Linked DNA regions of Stegostoma tigrinum. The protein of the gene in region 3 interacts with the protein of the main gene of each other region in a biochemical or structural test. Links are inferred from orthologs where the notes say so. Each region holds a gene or a part of one and is shown on either strand. Other genes may lie near its edges. The genes, in order: atm, klhl15 and DNA endonuclease RBBP8-like.

The links.
Region 1: of the proteins of DNA endonuclease RBBP8-like (region 3) and atm, one has a biochemical effect on the other in vitro, tested with the Homo sapiens proteins (4 studies listed by BioGRID, with this or other methods). The link is inferred for Stegostoma tigrinum from reciprocal best matches to the Homo sapiens genes RBBP8 and ATM.
Region 2: the proteins of DNA endonuclease RBBP8-like (region 3) and klhl15 form a complex in vitro, tested with the Homo sapiens proteins (2 studies listed by BioGRID, with this or other methods). The link is inferred for Stegostoma tigrinum from reciprocal best matches to the Homo sapiens genes RBBP8 and KLHL15.

The regions. Positions count from the first base shown.
Region 1 is NC_081359.1:70,469,682-70,477,408, forward strand, and holds the start of atm (serine-protein kinase ATM), read left to right. Parts: upstream 1-4,715; 5' UTR 4,716-4,916; intron 4,917-5,022; exon of another isoform or gene 5,023-5,135; intron 5,136-7,727. Other genes in the region: protein NPAT, read right to left, coding at 1,414-1,532, 4,411-4,447.
Region 2 is NC_081365.1:61,183,619-61,190,924, reverse strand, and holds the start of klhl15 (kelch-like protein 15), read left to right. Parts: upstream 1-4,297; 5' UTR 4,298-4,407; coding exon 4,408-4,413; intron 4,414-7,306. UniProt on the Homo sapiens protein: Substrate-specific adapter for CUL3 E3 ubiquitin-protein ligase complex.
Region 3 is NC_081358.1:19,880,555-19,888,079, reverse strand, and holds the start of DNA endonuclease RBBP8-like, read left to right. Parts: upstream 1-4,510; 5' UTR 4,511-4,658; exon of another isoform or gene 4,659-4,783; intron 4,784-4,901; exon of another isoform or gene 4,902-5,033; intron 5,034-6,347; exon of another isoform or gene 6,348-6,365; intron 6,366-7,525. UniProt on the Homo sapiens protein: Endonuclease that cooperates with the MRE11-RAD50-NBN (MRN) complex in DNA-end resection, the first step of double-strand break (DSB) repair through the homologous recombination (HR) pathway.

The DNA.
Region 1 (7,727 bases), on a different chromosome or scaffold from region 3:
TCAATGTTGTGCCGACCTGTCATACCGATCTGAAGCCCATCTAACCTACACTATTCCATGTACGTCCATATGCTTATCCAATGACGACTTAAATGTACCTAAAGTTGGCGAATCCACATACCATTGCAGGCAAAGCGTTCCATTCCCTTACTACTGAGTAAAGAAACTACCTCTGACATCTGTCCTATATCTCTCACCCCTCAATTTAAAGCTATGCCCCCTCGTGCTCGCCGTCACCATCCTAGGAAAAAGGGTGGATAGGGAGAGCCTATCTAACCCTCTGATTATTTTATATGTTTCAATTAAGTCACCTCTCAACCCTAAGACTTAAGACAGGTGATCATCTGCTGCACTCCTTCTACAGCTAGTAGATCTTTGGTTAGGTAAGATATGGCATACAATGTTGTAGATTCGGCCTCATCAGAATTCAATGCATTTGAAGTATGACTTCTTAGCTTTTGTAATCAAATCTTTTTGCGATAAAGGTGAACATACGAGAAGGATGACAGAATCAAAAAAAAATCTCAAATAAAATAAGTAGGGCAATAACACGCCTGTATGATATTTCAATCCTTTTTTAGTCAAGTATAGCTCATTGAAGGACAAGTGCAACACATACTCCAAACAGTGGTGAAATACCAATAAACTGAAAACGACCTAGTTGTCTTAACAGATCAACCAAAGAACAGCAATCAACAAAGCAGATAGACAATCGCTCATTTTTGGCAAAAAAGGAGAACATAGATCAAGAGGAGGAGGAATGGCCAAACTGTACTCTGCCTTATAGTGTCTCAAGTTCTATATCCGGCCCTGATCATTGATAATGAAAGAAGAAACTGAAACAGCATGAGATGGAGTACAGAATGAGATCTTGAAAGATGAAACATGGGAATCTTGGGTTTTTAAACTTGAAAAAGGAATGTGTGAAAGTGGATCTTTAGAAGCAGGAGATCGTAAGAAAGTGGAAGAGTTTAGAATATTAATTCAAAAATAAAGAGGGCACAGGTTCAAACTGGGAAAAATTAATGACTTATAAGGATACTAATTCTTCACAGAGTGAACCTTTAAATGGTGACAATGTAGCAAAATGCACCCTTGAAAAGCTGCAATTTTCAACTTAGGCTGTCTGCACACATCAAGAATTTTCCCACCGAGATAAAAGGCACAGGTTAGCTTTACACATTCATCACAGACACATCCTGCTTGAACACATGGGCCCAAGCAACAAAAACTGAATCTTTATCCATCTGAGGATTGTGTTGAGGCCTGCTTCAACCCTTTTTTAAAAAAATGTGGTATTGTAAAATCTAGTCTTCTGATTTATCACATGGGAGCTCTGCTTGGAGGTCCTTAATGGGCCTTTCAATCCCACCAATACTTATAACGCAGAGAAATTATGCATGCAATCCATACCAGCAAACAAGCAGGCACCACCCCATCCTCGGTACTGTGTTCGGCATACTCCTTTAGATCTCCACTTTCCAATATAAAGGTTCTGCAAGTATTAGAAAGCTTTTCTTGCTGCAGGTATCCTGTAAGAAAAACATAATAAAGTTCAGCTTGTCATTGGCCAATGCAGGAAGTGACATTTTAAAATATAAGCTGCTGCAAACATTTTAGCAGTTGAAGAATTAAGCAGAGATAGGAGGAACTGCAGATGCTGAAGAATCTGAGATGACAAAGTGTAGAGCTGGATGAACATAGCAGGCCAGGCAGCAGAGGAGTAAGAAGACTTTGATGCTGCTTGGCCTGCTGTGTTCATCCAGCTCTACACCATGTTATCAAAGAATTAAACATAGGCTTTTACCATAAACAGATGCAAAGGAAGTTCAGAATCTTAACCAAAAATCACAGGTTTTTCAGCCATGATTTTGCTTTGTAGGGAAATTCCCCTTTTGCAAATTGTGATAAGCTTCAGCAAATGTGCTTGTTTAGTGCGGCAAGCATTAGCAGACAAATATCTGTTTTTCAAACAAGGGAAAAAAGTATCATTCCTTATGTATCACACACTGGAACACTTGTTTGGTAGATCAGGTGGACAACATTCAGACGGAGTACAGCAGTTGGTATGATTGTGTCATCATGTATCACGTTATGTATGCAACTGATGAGTTACATGGGATGTCAAATTTGAGATATGGGGACAAATACTTCCATTAAAGTAAATAATGATTTGCAATGATGCTAGGCTTTCTGAAGGAGGAAACGTCTGGCTGCTTGACAGCAAGCTGTTACTAACTGCTGCAATTCCATCATGACCCCACGACTCCTCCAACAACTATCCCATCTCTGCCTTGCTCGCCATATCCCAAGCCTAGGCAAGACTTAATAACTGATAGTTACATAACATATTTGCGTGATGCTAGAGATTTGAGAAACTCACTTCTGGATGTTGAGGATTAAAATTCTACATTAAACAAATCTTGATTGTGAGCTATACTGCTATGCATTACAACAGAAATCATCATTTTACAGGGCTGCATTAATTCACTGGACAATGTGCCATTATCATTCATTTTAAGTACATTTCGTAAGCCCTTTATGTAAATTATCCACATATCACTCAAATAAAAGGCTACTCCTTCACTTTCTTTCCTATAAGCATTTAAATAAGCACAACATTTTTGTATTCCATCTGTGTGACCTGAGAAAAACATTTAGCCATGTAATGATACTTATTGTTCTACTTAACTCATAGCACACTGGTGAAGGGCAACTTGTTTCAGTTATCCTAAGAATGAACAATCTACTGTATATTAAAATATAAAAATATACATCAATTTCTTCTGCTGTGCTCTAGTTTTGATCATTAAAAACATAAATGGTTGAGAGTAGGCTACACAATTCTGACCCATTTTATTCGTTCTTCAATAAACAATTCGAAGCCTTTATTTAGTTTCAATAACATACACAGAAATTTAACATGTCTATCTTGGTGCATGAGTCTAGATCAGCAACTATAAAAGCATTAACTCAGTGGTAGAACAATCGTACACCTACAAGTCAGAAAATTCTGGTTCAAGTCCTATTCCAGAGACATAAGTGTACAATCTAGGCTGGTACTTCTTTCTAGAGCTATAGGAGTACTATCTTTTTCCAAGTTGCCAAATTTCCAATGAGATGTTAAATGGAAGTTCCACCTACCCTCTTACTTGAACATAAAAGATACTAATATTTATATTTCAGCTAATATCATTAAAAACACTGTTCATCATTTCCAGGACTTGAGCACGCACATTGTTTGATACATAGCTTGGGTTATAGTAGTAACTACATTCCAAGCACTTCACAATATAAATCCTCAAAATCCTGCATTTACAGAAGAAATTAACATGAATTGTTTCTTTTGTATACTGTATTTAAAGGACAATAACAAGTGTGCATTTTTCCTTTGTAATGAGTCAACTATAAACATACAGCTATTTGCATTAGTTATACTTTCAGACTATGATCGGGGATGAGGTACTACCTTATATGTTTTAGCAACTACGCTGTTTACCACATCAATCATGAAGAGTGTCTGACATCTGCCTAATGGAATGATTACCAATTAATTTTCAAGGCCAATTAATAATCACCATTTTGGGTTTAAATATTTCACATTGAATGGAAGCTGAATTTTTTTCATGAAAGAAGACAGCTTCAGAGCAAGGAAAAACAGACATCAAGTGAACACAGCCAAATTGTAGAATCAATAACTTGATAACTGATTCCAGCAGCTCCACAGCATCCTAGGATAAAACTAACTTGTAAGCAGCCAGTGTGATTCATTAATGGAATGGGAAGGATGATGGTTTGAAATTTTTTGTGCAGGATTCATTGTAAGTATTCTATCTTTCTACTAGGTAGAAAATTAGCATACAAAAACAAAATAATTTATTCCAAGCCTTAGGGTGTTATTCACACACAATATCCGCATTAAAAATAAATAGCAGTCACGATGTTGCTGTCCATTCTTTGCAATTGATGTAAAATGTCTGCTGAGGCAGATTAAGAACAACCACATTCACGTTCTAAAGTCACATGAAGCAATGTCAACACAATGTCAGAGATAGCTGAAGCTGTCAAGCACAGATGACACTGAGTTGAGGCAAAAGGAAAAAGTGAATAAATATCCAGTCGGAGAACCAGACACTCGCAAATATAATTAACCCACGGTGGCAGACCCAGTGTAGTACTGGCTGCGATTCAACTGTACAACAGAAACTTTGAGTAAGTTACCACTAAAGGTTGCTAATTAAACGGCCTTCGACAATAGGTATCTCTAGATGGAGCGAGTGATATCCCACCCACTTGAAGCTGCAAAATACAGTACTGCCCGCCGCCGGTTCTAACGCCTTCCCAATCAGCGGCCCAGCACCGCCCCAGGGACACAGATGGCCCACTGGACCGAGTGTCCAACCCACCTACCCAAGACAAGCCGCGCTACGTCTGACGGCAGCAGCATGTTCACCGAATCAGCCCCTGGAAATGAGGAGGGAGCCGTGAGGAGCGGCCGACCTTCCCTCGCCGTTCGCCGCTCAACCACATTAGATGCCGGTCCTCCAGCTGAAAATGGCGCGTAAAAACAACGCAGCCCTTATCCCGCACCAGCGTCCGGCGGAAGTGAGGCGACAGGTAGATTGCAATGTGGGAGTTGTAGTTTAATGAAACGAGTGGACTACAAGCCCCGACAGCCGCATGGCTTCCGCGCACGCGTATGGATTGATGGAGGAGGCGGGGTGGAGGTCAATTTGTAGATCGGTTCAACGTTTCAGCGGCGACTTCTCTGCAACGAACTCATGGCCTGGGCTCGAGTTTAAATGAAGTTTGATTCGGACCCAGAGTGGTGTGCGGATTTTTATTACTGTGAGTTCTGGTACAAGGATGTTGCTTGACCGTGCTGCGGACATGGCACGATGTTTGGCGGCTTAGAGGTGATTTTCTAAATAAACCAATCCTGGCGTATCCTCTTATCCATTATCGCCGACTCACGCAGTTTGATTCGCTGGGATGTGATGAGTGTTTCCCGCCAAGCGGAAGGTCAGCATAGACGCTGATTATACGGAAACATTGTCCGCCAGCCTGTCTGGATCATTGCGTGGGTCCTGTATGACTGATAGGTCCCATCTGCAGGCTCTGCCATACTGGGCAAGGTAACAAAGTGTGAGGCTGGACGAACACAGCAGGCCAAGCAGCAATCTTAGGAACACAAAAGCTGACGTTTCCGGCCTAGACCCTTCATCAGAAAAGGGTCAGTGGTGAGCCGGCCTTTGCTCGGTGAGACAGATGGAGGTTTGTGACCACCGTCTGACTTCACTTCTGCACATTCCTGACGAAAACTCCCGAGGCATTCGGTGCCCTCCCCAAGCGACCAGTCATTCACAAGCCAGAACAAAAACAAAGTTGCTGGAAAAGCCCAGCAGATCTGGCAGCGACTGTGAAGTTCTCAGGAAGGGTCCACCGGACCGGAAACGTTAACTCTGATTTCTTTTTCCTTCAAAGATGCTGCCAGACCTGCTGGGCTTTTCCAGCAACTTTGTTTGTGTTCCTAATTTACAGCATCTGCAGCTCTTTCGGTTTTTATTCACAAGCCAGAGACTGACTCAGGCAACATTTAATGGAGATGGTGGAAGGAAGGGGTTCTGAGCTGGTGAGAACCACGTGTTGCCTGTTTTACGGGAGGCTCACCATACTCAGTGCCACTTAAAACCTTAACTGGAAAAGAACAGCATTCCATGGGGTCAAGGATCCCGAGGCTGCTAACCCTTTTGACCCGCAGAATCACTGGGAGGCAGAGGCTCCTGTCCGCCTGACAAACACTCAGGGTCGGATCAGTGCTGGATCCCAGGCCACAGGTGAAAAGTCGTATACCATGGATGCTGGAAGTCTGAAATGAAAACAACCAGAAAAACTCAGCAACTTTGACAACATCTGTGAAAAGAGAAATGACATTAATGTTTTGAGATCAAGATGACTCTTCGTACAAGAGAATAATGGTAGGAAAGGGGAGAAGAGGTGTCTTTTGCCATGTCCCCCACCCCATGCTGAGTTCTACAGGCACTAAACTTGCTTTGACAAAGCATTGATTGATTTTGTCTTCAAGCATAGTGTTATTGGAATGGATACTCCCAGAAAAGTAAAAGATTTGTACTGAACAGAGGACAATGTTGGTAGTGATGCAATAGTAATTTGGAGTTTGTGGCTAGTGGTGACTTGAGGCAAAATGATTTCTTCAGACTTGGCATCAAGCCAAAGTGTTCTGAAGCTAGTGCAAGTGATTAACAAGCAACTGAATGTCTTCTGAGAGCATAGTCATCTGCTAACAAGTGTATGCCTGGCAGCTATTTATTGTTGTCACATGTACCTAAGCACTAAAAGGTTTTGTTTTGTAGAGTTTAGCAACCTTTGTGTAAACCTGGAGTCTTTGCAAGTTGATGGCATTACAGTCTGCCCTGAATTGAATGTGTACTTCTGTGTCAGAATCTTTGAGTGTGTCCTGCAGCGTGGCTGAGCAGTATATACAGAGAGTTGGAGTCAATACCTTGCTTGGTGATTTTGATGACAAGAAAGGCATTAGATGCCATACTCATTTGGATCATGCCATTGTAAAACCAGTGAATGACATTGGTCATCTTTTTACAGCCATATTTGTATTGAACCTTCCATAAATCTTCCCAGTTTTATTTTGTCAACAGTCTTGTTCAGGCCAATGAACGCTGTAGCGAGGAGGATATGGCCAAAAGACAAGAATAGAAACACAAAACTAGCAGTAGAGATTACTGATATTCTGAAGTATATCACTGAAGATTCTCAGAAAGAATTAATGGATTTTACTTGAGGCACAATTTCTGAGTTCCATTTGTTAAACAGAAGGAAGAAGACTGGCTGAACAACAATGACCAAGACATTAGCAAATTTCTAATGAAGTGCACTTATCTCTCAGATCATGTATGTCTATTGCAAATTTACCAACCAAGATTGCCAGATGCCATTGTATAAAACACTTGCTGCCAAACTAAGAAAGACGAAGGACTTAGAGTCAATGAGGAGTTCACAGGTACATGGATGGCAGTTTCAGGAAGTTGGACACACTGCAGATACAGTTAGGAAGATGGTTGACTACTAGGAATGGTAGGAGAGATAGCAGGAGTCTCCTATGGCTACTCCCAGCTCAAACAGGTATGCCATTTTGGATATGGTAGTGGGGAGGTGTCTTCTTAGGGGAGTATAGTACTGACAGCTAGGTTTCTGGTACAGTGACTGGCTGTGGTGTATAGAGGGGTATGTCAAGCTTCAAGTAACGGGTACTTTAGTCTGGGGCTCAGACAGTCTTTCAGCAAGACGTCAGGATTGAATGTTACCTTCCTGGTGTCAGGGTCAAGATGTCTCAGAGACAGTGCAGAATATTCTAAAAGGGGAGAGTGATAAGCAGGAGTCATTGTGCATTTTAGTAGCAACAACATTGGTAGGGAAGAGGATGAGATTCTGCAGAAATAATATAGAATAGAACTGCAGAGGAAACTAGTAGAAGTTTTAAAAAGTAGGTCCTTCAGAATAGTAATATCTGGGCTACTACTGGTGCCACGTACTAATGAAAGTAGGAATAGGAGGATAGGATAGATTAATGTGTGGCTGAGGAACTAGTGCAGGAAACAAAGATTCACATTTTTGGACCATTTGGGATCTCTTCAGGGATTGAAATAACCACAATAAGAGAGTCAGATTCCACCTGAATCAGAAAGGGA
Region 2 (7,306 bases), on a different chromosome or scaffold from region 3:
AAATAGCTACATTAAGTTGAAAACCAAAAGACCTGCGGATGCTATAAACAGGGAACAAAAACAAAGTTGCTGGAAAAACACAGCAGGTCTGGCAGCATCTGTGAAAGAGAAAACCGAGTTAATGTTTCAGGTCCGGTGACCCTTCCTCAGAACTCAGCTACATAAGTTGCTTCATAGCAGAATTTCTCCGAAAGTTCCAAACCATTAATTCAACGATGGCAGCAGGGTCAGTCGCTCCATTCAGAGCTTCACTCTGCTCGCCAGTTCTGTTTCTTTGTCCATCCTTTTTTTTCCTCCCTTCTCTCTCCCTCTGGTAGTAATTCTATTCCCCCGCCACCCGTTTTAACTGCCTACCTAAGGAGTTGGGAAGGAGCTGGGTCACGACTGAGAACCACGTGGCGGGAAATGAATGTGTTAGTTATGTCCTGCGGCGACAGAGAATCGAGCATGGGCCAGAGCGATAGCGGCAGCCCAAGACTGGGCTGGTGAGAGCGGGCCAATGAGGCAGCCCAGTTTGGGCTGCTGGCGGAGGCCTGGAGAGGGCTGGAAAGGCCTAAGTGGGTCTGCGGCAGTGCAAGGGAAAGTTGGGACTCCCTTAAGTTATCTTTTTTATTCTTGTCTTGTTCTGAGTTCAGGTGAATGGCGCCATGTATGTACGGTGTAGGTACACACTTTTCACTGCATTTTTCCATCGAATACGTGACAATTCAATTCAATTCGATACCATGATTAAACAGTTTTGTGCTATAATTGTAAGTACCTTTATTAGTTGTCGATAAAAGTTCAATAAAATGTCTTGTAACTGTATTCCATACCCCCTCCCAAATATGTCACATTTGTACAACTTTAAAAGAAAGGAACCCATGGACCGCAGCTGCCGCATGGTTCTCATTGTACCCTGTGGCCAGACAGAACCAAGCGTAGAAAGGTTAGCCCTTGCCACCAAGCAGTCATCCTCAGGTTCACCTTAGATTAGATTAGAATAGATTCCCTACAGTGTGGAAACAGGCCTTTCGGCCCAACAAGTCCACACCGCCCCTCGAAGCATCCCACCCAGGACCATCCCCATGGTCAGAACAGCTGATAAAAGCAAGATAAAAGCACCGTGGCTGCTGCTAGGAGACAGAACAATTAATCAACATGCTGTAATTTTCATTGTCACATTCCAACTACACATAAAGAGAGTGTAACTCATTCTGCTTTCAGAACAACTCTCTGGTTATTGGGGCACCAACAAAAAATAGGTGCAGCCTCTGACTCCTTGCACTATTAGAACTCCTTCTACCCTTGCAAAGTCACAAGTACACTTCCCTTGATAATAAAATGTGAGGCTGGATGAACACAGCAGGCCAAGCAGCATCTCAGGAGCACAAAAGCTGACGTTTCGGGCCTAGACCCTTCATCAGAGAGGTACACTTCCCTTGCTACTCTCTGCTTCAGCAGAATATGATGAGGCATCTTCTCCTGTGTAAGTGCCGTTGGTTATGTCCCAGACCGAGAAACGTATGAAGAATTGTGAGGTGTTGGAAATGCAGCCGGCTCCAACATGCACAGGGCAGCAAGGTGGCATAGTGGTTAGCACTGCTGCCTCAGAGCACCAGGGACCTGGGTTTGATTCCAGCCTTGGGTGACTGTGTGTTAAGTGTGCATGTTTTCCCCATGTCTGCATTGTATTTCGGACAGTAGGAGGAAACCGAGTAGGTGGATTGGATGTGTTAAATTGTCCCAAGGTATTCAGGGATGCACAACTAAGTGGATTAACCAGGGTAAACATGGGGTTATGGAGTGGGATGCTCTTCAGGAGATTGGTACAGACTTGATGGGCCAAATGGCCTCCTTCTGAACTCTATGATTCTAACCTAGAAGAATTTGGAGGCGTAGAAACTGAAGCTCTGAAAGGGATATTCTTGCCATGCCCATTTCTTTCTTCAAAGAATATAACCACCTCAAAGACACTGCTTCTTCTGAGTTTGCGTTAGCAAAAGTTGTCTCTGAATAACAGGTAGAACAGTTTTGGTCGAGGGGTTACAGTCACTTTTAACTTGAACAATTTGTGACAGCTCTTCCTATGTAATACTTCCAATAATTATACAGTAGCAAAAGCAGCTCCCAGAGAAGTCAAATGTAAATCCCTTTAAACGGCTGTTTGGCAGTCTCTGGACTCCTGTAGCTCCAACACCCAAATGGGAAAGTAGGCTGTGAGTTTATCTGTTATATTGCAAATCACATACACCAAGCTCACAAGCTGTGGCAAGATATCATACACTTAAATGCATATAAACAATTGTGGGTAAAATAAAACAGAACTGCAGATGCTGGAGATCTAAAACAAATCAGAAATTGCTGGCAAAACTCAGTAGGTCTGGCAAAATCCATGGGAGGAAAGCAGAGCAAATGTTTCAAGTCTGGTGAATCTTCATCAGAATTTCAGTGGCAGAATCTGCCAGGCCTGCTGAGTTTCACCGGTAGTTTCTGTTTTTGTCAACAATTGTGGGGTTTAGAGATATTTCAAAATTAAAATACTGAACATATCGGCACCTGCTACCGGAAGGGCCTAACATACTGAAAATAAGACTATAGGGTATAAAACTAGACCAAACGTCACTGCCCCAGCACCAGGTCCTGCCCACTATCATCCCTGTGATTGCTGATACCGTGGATCTAGGTTAAGCAAAATCCTAATTTTAAATAACATCCCAAAGAACTGCAAAGCCCAGACAGGGGCTCTGGCGGAGGTACGGCAGGGGCTGGAAAGCCCGGAGCGGGACTGCGGCAGTGGAAAGTTGGGATCTCTTTGGTTATTTTTTTCCTCGCTTATTCTAAGTTAATGTGAACGGCGCCATGTACGTACGGCGAAGGCTCAGCGGTTAGCATTGCAGCCTCACAGCGCCAGGGACCCGGGTTCAATTCCAGCCTCGGGCAACTGTCTGTGTGGAGTTTGCACATTCTCCCCGTGTCTGCGTGGGTTTCCTCCGAGTGCTCCAGTTTCCTCTCACAGTCCAAAGATGTGTAAGTTAGGTGGATCGGCCAGGCTAAATTGCCCATAGTGTTCAGGGGTGTGTGGGTTATAGGGGGATGCATCAAGGGGCGGTGTGGGCTTGTTGGGCCAAAGGGCCTGCTTCCACACTGTAGGGAATCTAATCTAATCATGTACTTTGACATTGAACGTACGTGACAATAACTGATTCAATTTGATTCAAGACAGAAATTGCTGAAAAAAGGTCAGAAGGGTCAGTCAACCTGAAACGTTGACTCAATGGTTTTTCTCCCTGATGCTGCCAGATCTGCTGAGCTTTTGCAGCAATTCGTGTTTTGATCCTAATTTTAGTTTTTCTTTCTTATTTTTCAAACCCTTGTGTGATCTTCCTCCATTGTCTATGAAGTGTCCCCCAGCCCAACACAACTCTCTGGGATATTTGCACTCAATCAACTCTGGTCTTTTTGAACAAGGCAGACTTTCACGGCCCTGCCGGTGTGAGTAACGTCTTCACTTGTGTGGGACCCAACAAAGGAAATCCCTCTGCAAACCCTTCTACTTCGAAACTCTCCACTCTTGTCCAATACTTTCTTTGGCCTTTTGACAGAATTTTGCAAAACGTCCCTGTCAATCACACCAGGAAAGTTCCACCACCTTACAGGCACAGTAAATACTAGTTCGACAGCAAGTGTCGGTGTCCGAAGGCTCGGTGTTTGATTAGATCAGATTAGATTCCCTACAGTGCGGAAATAGGCCCTTCGGCCCAACAAGTCCACACCGCCCCTTGAAACATCCCACCCAGGTCCATCCCCCTGTAACTCACACACCCCTGAACACTGGAGGCTTTCCCTAGGGCCGGTGTTGTTGGCCAGGGCAGGTTTGGGGGGAAGGAAAGATGGAACCAGCAGGCCCACTCGATCAACCAGACACTGCGGCATGCCGCCCCAGTCCCGGGGAATTAGTTTCCGGGCTCAGGTCAGAATTTGACCCGCGATACACCGCATTACCCTGAACTCCCATAAGGCGGCCTTTAACCAGTCACTCAGCACCAGGGCCAGCCCCTTTCGACATCAGCTCCCGCTCTCACCACCTTCCGCCGACTCAAAAACCCACAGCGCACGGCGTACACTCCAAGCCCCGCCCCCAGATCCCGGGGGGAGGGGGGAACGACCCTTACGCGGAAGCTGTTCCCCGAAGTTTTGAAGGGTCTGGCGGAAGTGACGTTGGTGGCCCTGGCCGGTGGAGGAGAAGATGGCGGTGGTCGGTCGGAGTTGACGCCGAGCTTCGGGGGTGGGTTGGGGGGGGGGAGGAGACGTGGAAAACACGGCGCTAACCCCGTTGGCGGCCAAGTGCTGAGGGAGGAAAGAGCGCCGGGGTCCCCCTGCTGAGCTGTTTTCAAAAGGACTGTGAATGCGGAGTGGCTGCTACTGATGTTGGTGAGTGTGAGGCACCGACTGGGAATTGATGCTCTTCAGGGCAGGTCAACGGGCCGCAACTTTAAGCTTCCCAGACTGCCTTCTTCTTTTCGCCTATCCTGTAGGCACCTGTCGCCTGGAGCGTGAGCCCGAGGATGCAACACAATCCTAGCGTTAGAAACTCGACTTTATTCATAGAAAAAAATACTTCAGTTTGCTTCGCGTATCTTCAAGTGAAAGTTACTACGATTGGTCTTCCAAGTCTTTTTACTTATAAAGTTTTTGTACGTAGATCCAAAGTTGTAGTGGCAGGCGAAGGAGGAGATTCCATTGGGCTCTGACATTAATTATGGGACCGCAACTCAAGAAGGGTGGTCGGGGTAAATCAGGAAACTACTGGCCAGTGAGTCTAACATACGTGGTAGGGAAATCATTGGCATCATTTGAGGGGTAGAATTAATCTCCAAATGGAGATGCAAGGATTAATCAAAAATAGTCACTCTCTTTTGAACGTTTTGAGCACATGACGAGATGTGTCGGTGAGGATAATGCAGTTGTTATAATCTGCGTGGATTCACTAAGGCTTTTGACAAGATCTCACTTGACACACTGGTTAAGAAGCAAAGAGCCTATTGGGATCCAGGTCAATTTGGCAAAATGGATCCAAAATTAGCTTAGTGGTAGAAATCAGAGGTTGATGATTGAAGGAAGCATGTGTCCTGTGTTGAATCGTGGGGTTTGGAACTGGGTTTCCTGCTGTTTGTTGTGTGCATTTATGATCTTGATATGAATGTTGAACGTAAGATCAGTAACTTTGCAGATGACATGAAAATTATGTGTCAAATGGGAAGGAGGAAAGCCTTAAACTGCAGGATGATATAGATGAGCTGGTTAGATGGGGTAAACAGCAGCCAAATGAATTTAATCCTGAAAGTGAGGTGATATATTTTGGCAGGACTAACAAAGTAAGGAATAGAACCGTAGGAACTACAAAGATCAGCGAGATCGTGATGTGCATCCCCATAGATCCTTGGCAACTGGACAGGTACATAAAGTGATGAAGAAGGCATTGACAATACTTGCCTTTGTTAGTGAAGGCATTGACTGTAAGAGTAAAGAGGTTACAACAAGAGTATTAATTTGGCCACAGTTGGAAGACTACTTGCAGTTCCAGTCATCACATTATGGGGAGGATGCAATTGCACAACAGGGTGCAGAAGGGCTTCACCAGGATGTTGCCTGGGTTGGAACAGTTCAACAATTAAGGCATACCAGATGAGCTAGGGTTTTATTTCCCTTAGAGCAAAGGGAAATAAGACTCAGGAGGAAATGTGATTGCAGTGCACAAAGTTCTGAGGGGCATAGACAGGGTAGATAGGGAGAAACTTGACCACTTCAAGGGGTCAATAACCAGGGCGCACTGTTTTAAGGTAAGATCAAGTGTTTTTGAGAGTATTTGTAGGAAAAATAATTCAACCAGAGTGTTGGAGATATTTGGAACTCACTGTCTGAGAAGTGATAGAGGTGGAAGCCTTTGAAACATAAAAGAATAATTTTGTTGAACACTCAAAATGCAATAGCATACAAGGCTATGTGCCAAAATGCTGGAAAGTGGGTTCGACTAGATGGATGCTTGTTGACTGGTGGGGACATAGTGGGCCTCTTTCCTTGCTGTAAAAACGCTGATTCTGTGTTGAAGTTATGTTAAAATTGCTAGTATATTAACTGGGATAACAAGACTTTCAAAGAAAAAGTAATGTATTTAATATATTCAAAAATTTTGTTTTTTCTTTAGAAATGCAGCAAAGGTTTAGATTAGATACAGAGTTGTAATTTCTAATTTTTTTGATCAAAGGTGCAACTTGGCATGGTAATAACCATATTTGCAAATTTTGTATATCATAGCTTGTTTTCCCTTTTAGATGACGAGGAACCCATTGTTTAGAAAAGTATTTAGAACTGCAAGTCTTAAGATTGCAATATCCTGTAAATTTTGTTGTGTGTCACACTTGGTGTCTTTAAAGTCCAATTTTCCATGCTTTTTGCCCTGGGCAGCTAGTTCTATTGAACATGCATAAAATGCAAAGCAGCATTTTTATTCTTTTGTGGCATGCAAGGGTTGCAGGCATTTGTTGTCCATTCCTTGAGAGCTTAGTGGTGAGCTGTCATCTTGAATTGCTGAAGCCGATATGGTATACTTAGAATTCGGGTCATGGCAACACCCTGAGTTTTTGACCTAATGACTGTAACAAAACAAGAATATGGTTCTAAGTCAGGATGGTCCCTGACCTGAAATGAAGCTGGCAGATGCTGATGTTTCTAAGTACCTGTTGTCCCTATTCTTGTAAATGGTGGGTGATTGGCAAGGGACTATAGCTAGTAGCTACTGCCACCACAGTGTGCCAAGGATAGAGGAGATGAATGTTTAGGGTGGCAGCAGTGGATTGCCAATCAAGCAGAGAGCTTCTTATGTTGTTGGAGTAGCACTCATTCAGGCATATGCTGTGTATTCTGTCGCATTCTTGATATTACCCAGGCATTGATGTGATATGAACTCTTAGCTTCATATGTGGTCCAATTGCTATTATACTTATGTAATTGGTTAGTTAAGTTTTGGGTCGCTGATAACACCTAGTCCAGGTCTGAATGTTTTCCACATTTTTGTTGCATGCAGGCATAAACTGTTTCAGTATCTCAGGAGTCGTAAATGCATTTGAATGTTACGCAAACAACCAGCATCAGCGGACAATCAACTCACCATGACAGCAACTGGTGGGATGTTTTCCTGATGTGAATTGACTTTAATTTTCTGAAGTCTCCTTGGTCACTTCAGGATACAGCAGGATCTAAATCAGATGGGCCAATTGACCGAGGAGTAGCAGATGGAGTTTAATTTAGATAAATGTGAGGTGCT
Region 3 (7,525 bases):
AGTCAGGAAGCGTCTATTTAGGATCCCTGTAGCTGAGATGCCTGACCTTCCAACAACAACAGCTGTCTTCCCAAGCGTCAGGTCTGACTGCAAACAGTGGAAAATTTGCCGATTGATTTAAGCTTTGCTACAGCTCCTTGATACCACACTCCACCAAATGCAGCCTTGATGTCAAGGGCTGTCACTCTCCGTTCACCTCTGGAATTCAGCTCTTTTGTCCATGTTTGAACCAATCTTGTAATGAGGGCAGGAACTGAGTGGCCCTGGTGGAACTCAAACAGTGTGTCACTGAGCAGATGCTGCTTGATGGTACTATGAGTGATACTTTCCGTTGCTTTACTGATGATCAAAAGTAGGTTAATGGGATGGTAATTGGCTGGTTGAATTTGATCTGCTTTTTGTGTACCATACACATCTGCACACTTTTCTACATTTTCAGGTCGGTGCCAATGTTGTAGCTGTACTTGAAGAGCTAAGTAGGGAAGTGTTAATTTTAGAGCACAAGTATTATAGCCGGAACGTTATCAAGGCCTGAAGCCTTTGCAGTATCCAGTGCCTCCAACTGTTTCTTGATATTATGTGGAGTGAAGTGAATTGGCTGAAGACTAGTATCTGCGCTGATGTGGACCCCAAGAGGAGGCTGAGATGGATCATCCACTCAGCACTGCTGGCTGAAGATTGCTGCAATTGTTTTAGCCTTATCTCTTGCACTGATGAACTGGTGTCTTCCATCATTAAGGATGGGAATATTTGTGGAGTCTCCTCCTCCAGTCAGTTTTTAATTCACCATCATCATTGGTGGACTGCCGAGCTTAGATCTGGTCCATCTGTTGTGGGACGGCTTACCTCATTTGCTGCTAATATAGTCCGGCCTGCATATAATCCTGTTTGGTAGGTTCACCAGGTTGACACCTCATTTTTAGGTATGCCTGGTGTTGCTCTTGTCATGGCTTCCTACACTCTCCATTGAGCCAGGGTTGATACCCTGGCTGAATGCTAATGATTGAGTGGGGCATATGCCAAGCCATAAGATTGCAGATTATGCTGGAATACAATTATTTTGCTGTTGATGGCCCACATATTCTCAAAGGTGCCCAGTCTTAAGTTGCCAGACTGGTCCCACTTATAACAGTGATAATGCCACACAACATGATAGAGGGTAAGCAGGACCTCATAGGACTATGTGGTGGTCAGTCTTACCAATACTGTCATGGACAGATGCATTTGCAGCCAATCGATCGGAAAGAATGACGTCATGTATCTTTTCCCTCACCACCTGTGGCAGACTCATTCTAGCAGTTACATTATTTTGGATGTGACCAGCTCAATCAGTAGTGTTGCTGCTGAATCCTTAGTGACGGAGGGCAGTATGTGGTAACTAGCTGCAAGTTTCCTTGCCCATGTTTTACCTGCTGCCCTAAGACTTCATGATATCCAGAGTCAATGTTGAGGGCTCCGAGGTCAACTCTATCCCAACTGTATACCACTGCGCCACCACCTCTGTTGGGTCTGTCCTGCTGGTGAAACAGGACATATGTGATGATATTGCCTGGGACATTTACCACATATGACTATGTCAGGCTGTTGCTTGACTAGTTTGTGAGACAGCTCTCCCACTTTTGGTACTTGTCCCAGCTGTTAGTCATTGGAACTTTGCAGTGGCACTAAGGCTTGGTTTTGCTGTTATCGGTGCCTGGGCCAGTGCCAGATGGCCCGTCCCTTTTTACTTCATGGTTGAGAATTCATAACAATTGTTACAACCGAGTGGCTTGTTAGGCCATTTCAGAGGGCAGTTGAGAGTCAACCACATTTCCACAGTTCTGGAGTCACAAGTAGGCCAGACCAGGTGAGAATGACAGAATTCCTTCCCTGAATGTGATTACTGAGCCAGACGGGTTATTTTTCAACAATTGGCAGTGGGTTCATAGACATCAAAAGATTCTTAAAGTTTCAGGTTTTTGTTTATAACATTCAAATTCTGCTGTCTGCCGTGGTAGGATCTGAACCTGTTCTTCAGTACATTAGCTGTGTTTCTGGATTAATTATCTCGTAGTAATATCACTCATTGCCTCACATCCATCAGGTCACTTCAATTTTCCTGAGAGAAAGGATGTAGTCCAACATATTTTTTCTAACATGTAATGTCCAATATCCTGGTCCAATAAGGGCTTTGGATAGCAGATTAACATAACTGCATAATTTACTCCGCTTTATGTATGAGTTACATAGCAGTCCTCACTTTTAAATATGCCGCCATCACAATGAACAACTGTCCTACAGCTGCCAAACAAACCATCATCTCATGTCAGAGTCTACTCTGCAGGACTGTTTACTGTAACACAATGATAATTGATTTTATTGATCTACACTGCTACCTAATTACAACTTTCCATCTCAGATTAATATGAGGTTGCTTCAAAGCACAAGGAACACATTCTAATTTTGTTTTCTTTTACTTCATCAGCTGTTGAGTTAGGGACCTGTCAGCAAATATTCGCATTTACATTTGTGTCTCCCATGGTTCAAATCTTATCATACTCGGCTGTGGAATCATAGGCTGTACCAGAGAGTTAGTCAGAGCCCTTGGCTAAGCTTTCATAACAGAAATGAAGGGTTGGTGCACTTTTAGAGATCTGTGTTACAGATAAGGTGTTAAAATTAGTCCTTGTCTATCATTATGAGCGAGCTTAAAATATTCCACATTGTTATTTCAAAAAACAGCAGATTTTATATACTGGCTAGCGGTTACCTCTTAAACCAACATGTAATAATGGGAAAGGTTATCATTTTGCTTCGGGAAATTGCTGTGTTCAAATTGTGTGCAACGTTCATTACATTTCTATGCTTCAAAAGTGCTCAGTTGGCTGTAAAATGGAATTGGGATGATGTTGCGAAAGATGGAACCCATGATGTGGAGGTGCTGGTGTTGGAGAGGGGTGGGCAACGTCAGAAGTCACACTACATCGGGTCATCAGACTGCACCTGACGAAGAGGCCGAGCTCCAAAAACATGTGGGATTCCAAATAAACCTGTTGGCCTATACCTGCTGTCATGTGACTTCTGATGTTGTGAAAGATATTATAGAAATTGAAGTAATTTCCTTTTTTCTTTGAATTCATTTGCTTAAACAAACTGAAATTTGAATAGGAATGTAGTTATCTATCTGCCAAGATTTTCTATTTAGTAAAATATGGTTTTTGCTACAGTCATTTGTTGTTGAGGATTATTAATCATTTCCATAGAAATACACTAATTACGAGGAAAGAGAAAACCATGTCAAGTTGTGAGTTGATGCATGATGTTATAACTAGTTTTCGCCAGGAGGTGGTGCTGATTCAGCTTTGATTTTACAGAACTGCAAATTTCTCCAAGTTGTGCAAGTGCTCGTGTTAGACTGGGTTGGAGAAAATCAAGAGTCACACAACACTAGGTTACAGTACAACAGGTTTGTTTGAAATCACAAACTTTCAAAGCTCAGCCACTTCATCAGAAGTGGGAGAGAAGAGCACGCAAACACAGAATTTATAGGCAGATGCATCAAGGGCAGAGAGATCAAAAGATCATACAACTGGTATGCGTGAAGTTTTGAGTAAGAGGTCCTGCAGGAGACCATGAGTGTTGGGTGACAGGAGTGAAGTGCCAACTGCTGAATAGCAAGTGAAAGGATAACCCAAAACCTGATTAAATGGGGTGGAGAGATAATTTCAAAACATTAAAAATAAGCCAAGCTGAAACTGATAGCCAAGGTCTGTACCCATGAAGACAACGTCAACTGTGATCTTGGGTTCATGTTGTGTCACATGCGACCCCATCACACAGCTCAGCATCTGTAAAAACCTTCCTTACTGTGCTGTTTTGACACCATCACCTTAATAACTTATTATGATCGCTCTACCTTGATTAGTTTGTTCAGTTTTGATTTACTTATTACTTTGGTCAGACCATTGGCGTGCGATTCTTACACCTCTCATGCTGTTCCAGTCATTTAGTTTGTCTCCCGTACCACCTTATTTTTAATTTGTTTAAAAATTCCAGTCATTTTCGATATCATTTTGTTTATACAACGTTATGTAACATTCGATCGGCCTTGGACTAGCATAACGTTTCCAGAACATGTTTGACTACGTTAGATAATCTGATGTTGGAAGGAGGGTTGACCATTTGTCAAGCTCTGATAGGCGGGCCCTCCCATATTGGGGCGGGGACCCAGCAGATAGGCGGGGTCAATTCCAAATAAGCCGGGCATGTGGGCGGGCCTCTCGATGGGCTGATCACCCCACACTAATTGGCGGGGCCTTATAGCGGGGCGTTGCCTTTCCTACCGACGGGCGGTGACTTCAGTCACGTGCTGGTCCTTATTGATTGACAGCTCCCTGCCATTGGGGCGGGGCCACGTCGACGTGCGGCGTTTTCCGTACGGACGGGCGGCGCCCTAAATGGGTGGAACCGCGCCCACTGCTTCTTCGCAATGGTTGAGATCGATGTCACTCACGGGGATTTTTTTCCCCCCCACCCATTTCCGGCAGCGCAGCCTGCCGTTGGGCTTATTCCCGCGTCATTTCGAAGTTTGTGTTTGAATCGGGAGTTGATCCTGGCTCGAGCTGCGGAGTCGCTCGCTCAGTGACGGCCGAGTTCCTCTCCTGTGCGGCGAGACTGAGGTGACGAGCACTGTCGTGAGTGTGAGAATACGGGGGCGGATACAGGAGAGGGCGGCCTAGAATTCTCCAGAAAACCTGGAGAAGGGAAAAGGTGGAGAAGTTGCTGGTTAAAACGGAGGCAATAAGTGAGTGAATCAGGAATGAAGAGAGTGAGGGGTGGGAACACGCAGATAGCTTTTCCAATAAGCTCCTTTACGGTGTGTTTACATCGGTGTCTAATCGGTGGTCTGGTACATTCTTCAGGTTTACCGTGAGTGCTGCCGGTCCTCACCGGACGCCTCAGAACTGTCCTGGTGCGGGAGGCGGCCATTCAGTCCATCGTGCCACGGCTGGCCCAATGAGTTGCTGCAGCGGGGCCTAGGATTCAGGCAAGACGTTCGTACTTGATTTCATAAGATCCACGTTTATTGTCGCCGTTTGCACTTTCCTCCAGTGCTCAGCTGAAGTGTTTAGAGCAATATTGAAAGCCTGGGTTTATTTTTGGAGGATGAATTCAATTTGTAAAGTCAAGTGCAATCTAACTGCATTGCATTACTGGTTTTATTGCGGAACGTGCATCTATAAGCATGATGCTCAAAAATGTGTGCTACTTAGTGGTTTTGTTTTGGAGTAAAATTTTGTTCCATCAGAATGAACATTGCAGGGAGGCAGTGCTCTGCATTAGATCATGCAGCTGTGATTTCTGCTTTGCCACCAGTGTTCTAATGAGGCTACTTCTATACAGCAAGCAATCTTTGGTAGTTTCCACAATGGACTCACTTTGCCTCTGTTCTTGAACACAGTAGTGATGGCAGCATCGCTACGATTGGCAGGGGTTTCTTCTTTGTCCCAGATTTTTGATGGAGATGACAGGTAAGCTCTGCCCCTCCCAAGTCAAAAAATTCTGTTCGAATCCCATCTACTACTGCAGCTTTTCCATTCTTCATATGTCTCATGACCACTTTAATTTCTTCCACATTAGGTGGGAGTCCAGGACCGTCTTTGGGGAGTTTGTGGGATTTCCTCAAACACATCCTCCTTGATTGTATCGAAGTTTATATGTTCTTTGAACTATTCTGTCTGTCGGAGGCTTATGTATTTTGTGTCTCAGAAGTGTTCCATCTGTACTTCGTAGCAGTTTGACACCTTGGTGTACAGTCATTACATTGTTGTAGTGGCACTGAAGAAACCTGGGTGCTGTGCTTGTCAGCAAGGAGTTGCATTTACTTAGCTTTCTCAATCCTCCATTGGTGGTTCTTTGTAATTCTGTCTTTTGCTGTTTGAGATCCCTTCTTTGCCTTGCTGGTGATGTTTTGCCAGGCATAGAGAGCTTACCCCTTGATGATGAGATCTTGGATGATGTGGTTACTCTCATCAAACTATTCTTGACGTTTCCTGATCTTGCAGCCGATAGTTTATTTCACAACATGAGGTGATAGCTGTCTTCAGCTCTTTCTAGATTTCCACAATTCCATTGAAATGAGCTCTTTGGTGATTTTTGTTGAAGACATTATTGGAAATTTGCTAGTCTGTTTGGCTGTTGAAGGCTTACAATGTTAAATATTTTAATAAACTGTTTCTTTGTCTTCAGCTGTTTTCTGGTGGCTTATGATGGATGTGGAGGAATGTATAAGCCGGTGGTGCAGATGGCTGCTTGAAGGACCAATCATCAGCTTGGTAATGACGATGTCCCGTTGTCATCATTCAGTCCCAAGACCATAGTCGATCGTAAGCCAGCACTTTAATTGCGTATCCTTCAAGAGGCTTCGAAATTGTCTTTTTGGAGGAACAGTGCATTGATGAATAACAGCTGGTGTTCTGCATTTTTAATGAGTCGGAGAGTCCCCCTGGAATGGCACTCCTCGACTTCTTCCTTTTTGAGTGGTCTCTTTCCAGAGCTCAGGGTCCTTTTTACAATTCTGGTATTGAAGTCTCCAAGCAAAGTAACTTAATATTCCTTTTAGATGTTGCTGAGTATGGTGTTCAGGGTAGAGTAGAACCTGCCTTTAGATTCCTCTATGGCATCAAGGTTTGGAGTAGAGACACTCAGTTGCTTGCTAGTTCTTGGCAAGTTGGAGACAGTCATGAGGTGATTGATGCCAACGGTGAGCTCTTAGAGTTGATTGACAAGTCGTACTTGATTGTGAATCCAATTCCATGTGTCCTGCATTGATCCTTGGGTTTCCTTTCCAGAAGAAGCTGTAACCTTTTCTGTCAGCTGCCCTTCACCTGCTTTTTGAATTTCCTGCAGGGCAGCAATATCAATGTTGAAGTGCCGTTCATACATTCCAGATTCCAAGATTGAAGTTGACTTTGGTTCTTCAGGCTGCAGGTAGATGAACCCACTGGATGTCGTTTTCCAGCCGGGTTGATGATGAAGCAAACTATGTTTCAGGCACTTTATCTAGCCCCCCCTCTACGCAGGGTGAGCAAAATAAATGCGAACAGAGCTGCTCACTTGTGAAGAAAACTGCCAAAATGCCCTTCTATTCCTGGCCCATATGTCGGACTGTGCCGTCTGAAGCTGGGAACTTCAAGATTTCTCAGTCCTGTCCCCATCGTGTCTCACCGATCGCGGAGGTTTGTCTGTGTGTCCTAGATAGATGCCCTGTGTAGGACATCTTTTAACATGGGAATGCCATTGCATTATCAGCAGACACGTGGCCCTTGACAGAGGGTAGATCCAGCACTCGTGGCACAGGGACCTCAGTCAACCCGGTCTGCTCCATGAGCAAATAATTCATGGTTAACAGAAGCAACACCTCCACTTACACTGCTTCCTTGCTGTTAGACATTTTGCTGCTTTCCACATCTATGCTACAGCATAAAACTATTCTGTGAACTGTTTTGTGAGGTAATTTTTGAAAATCTGTCTGTCCCATGCACTG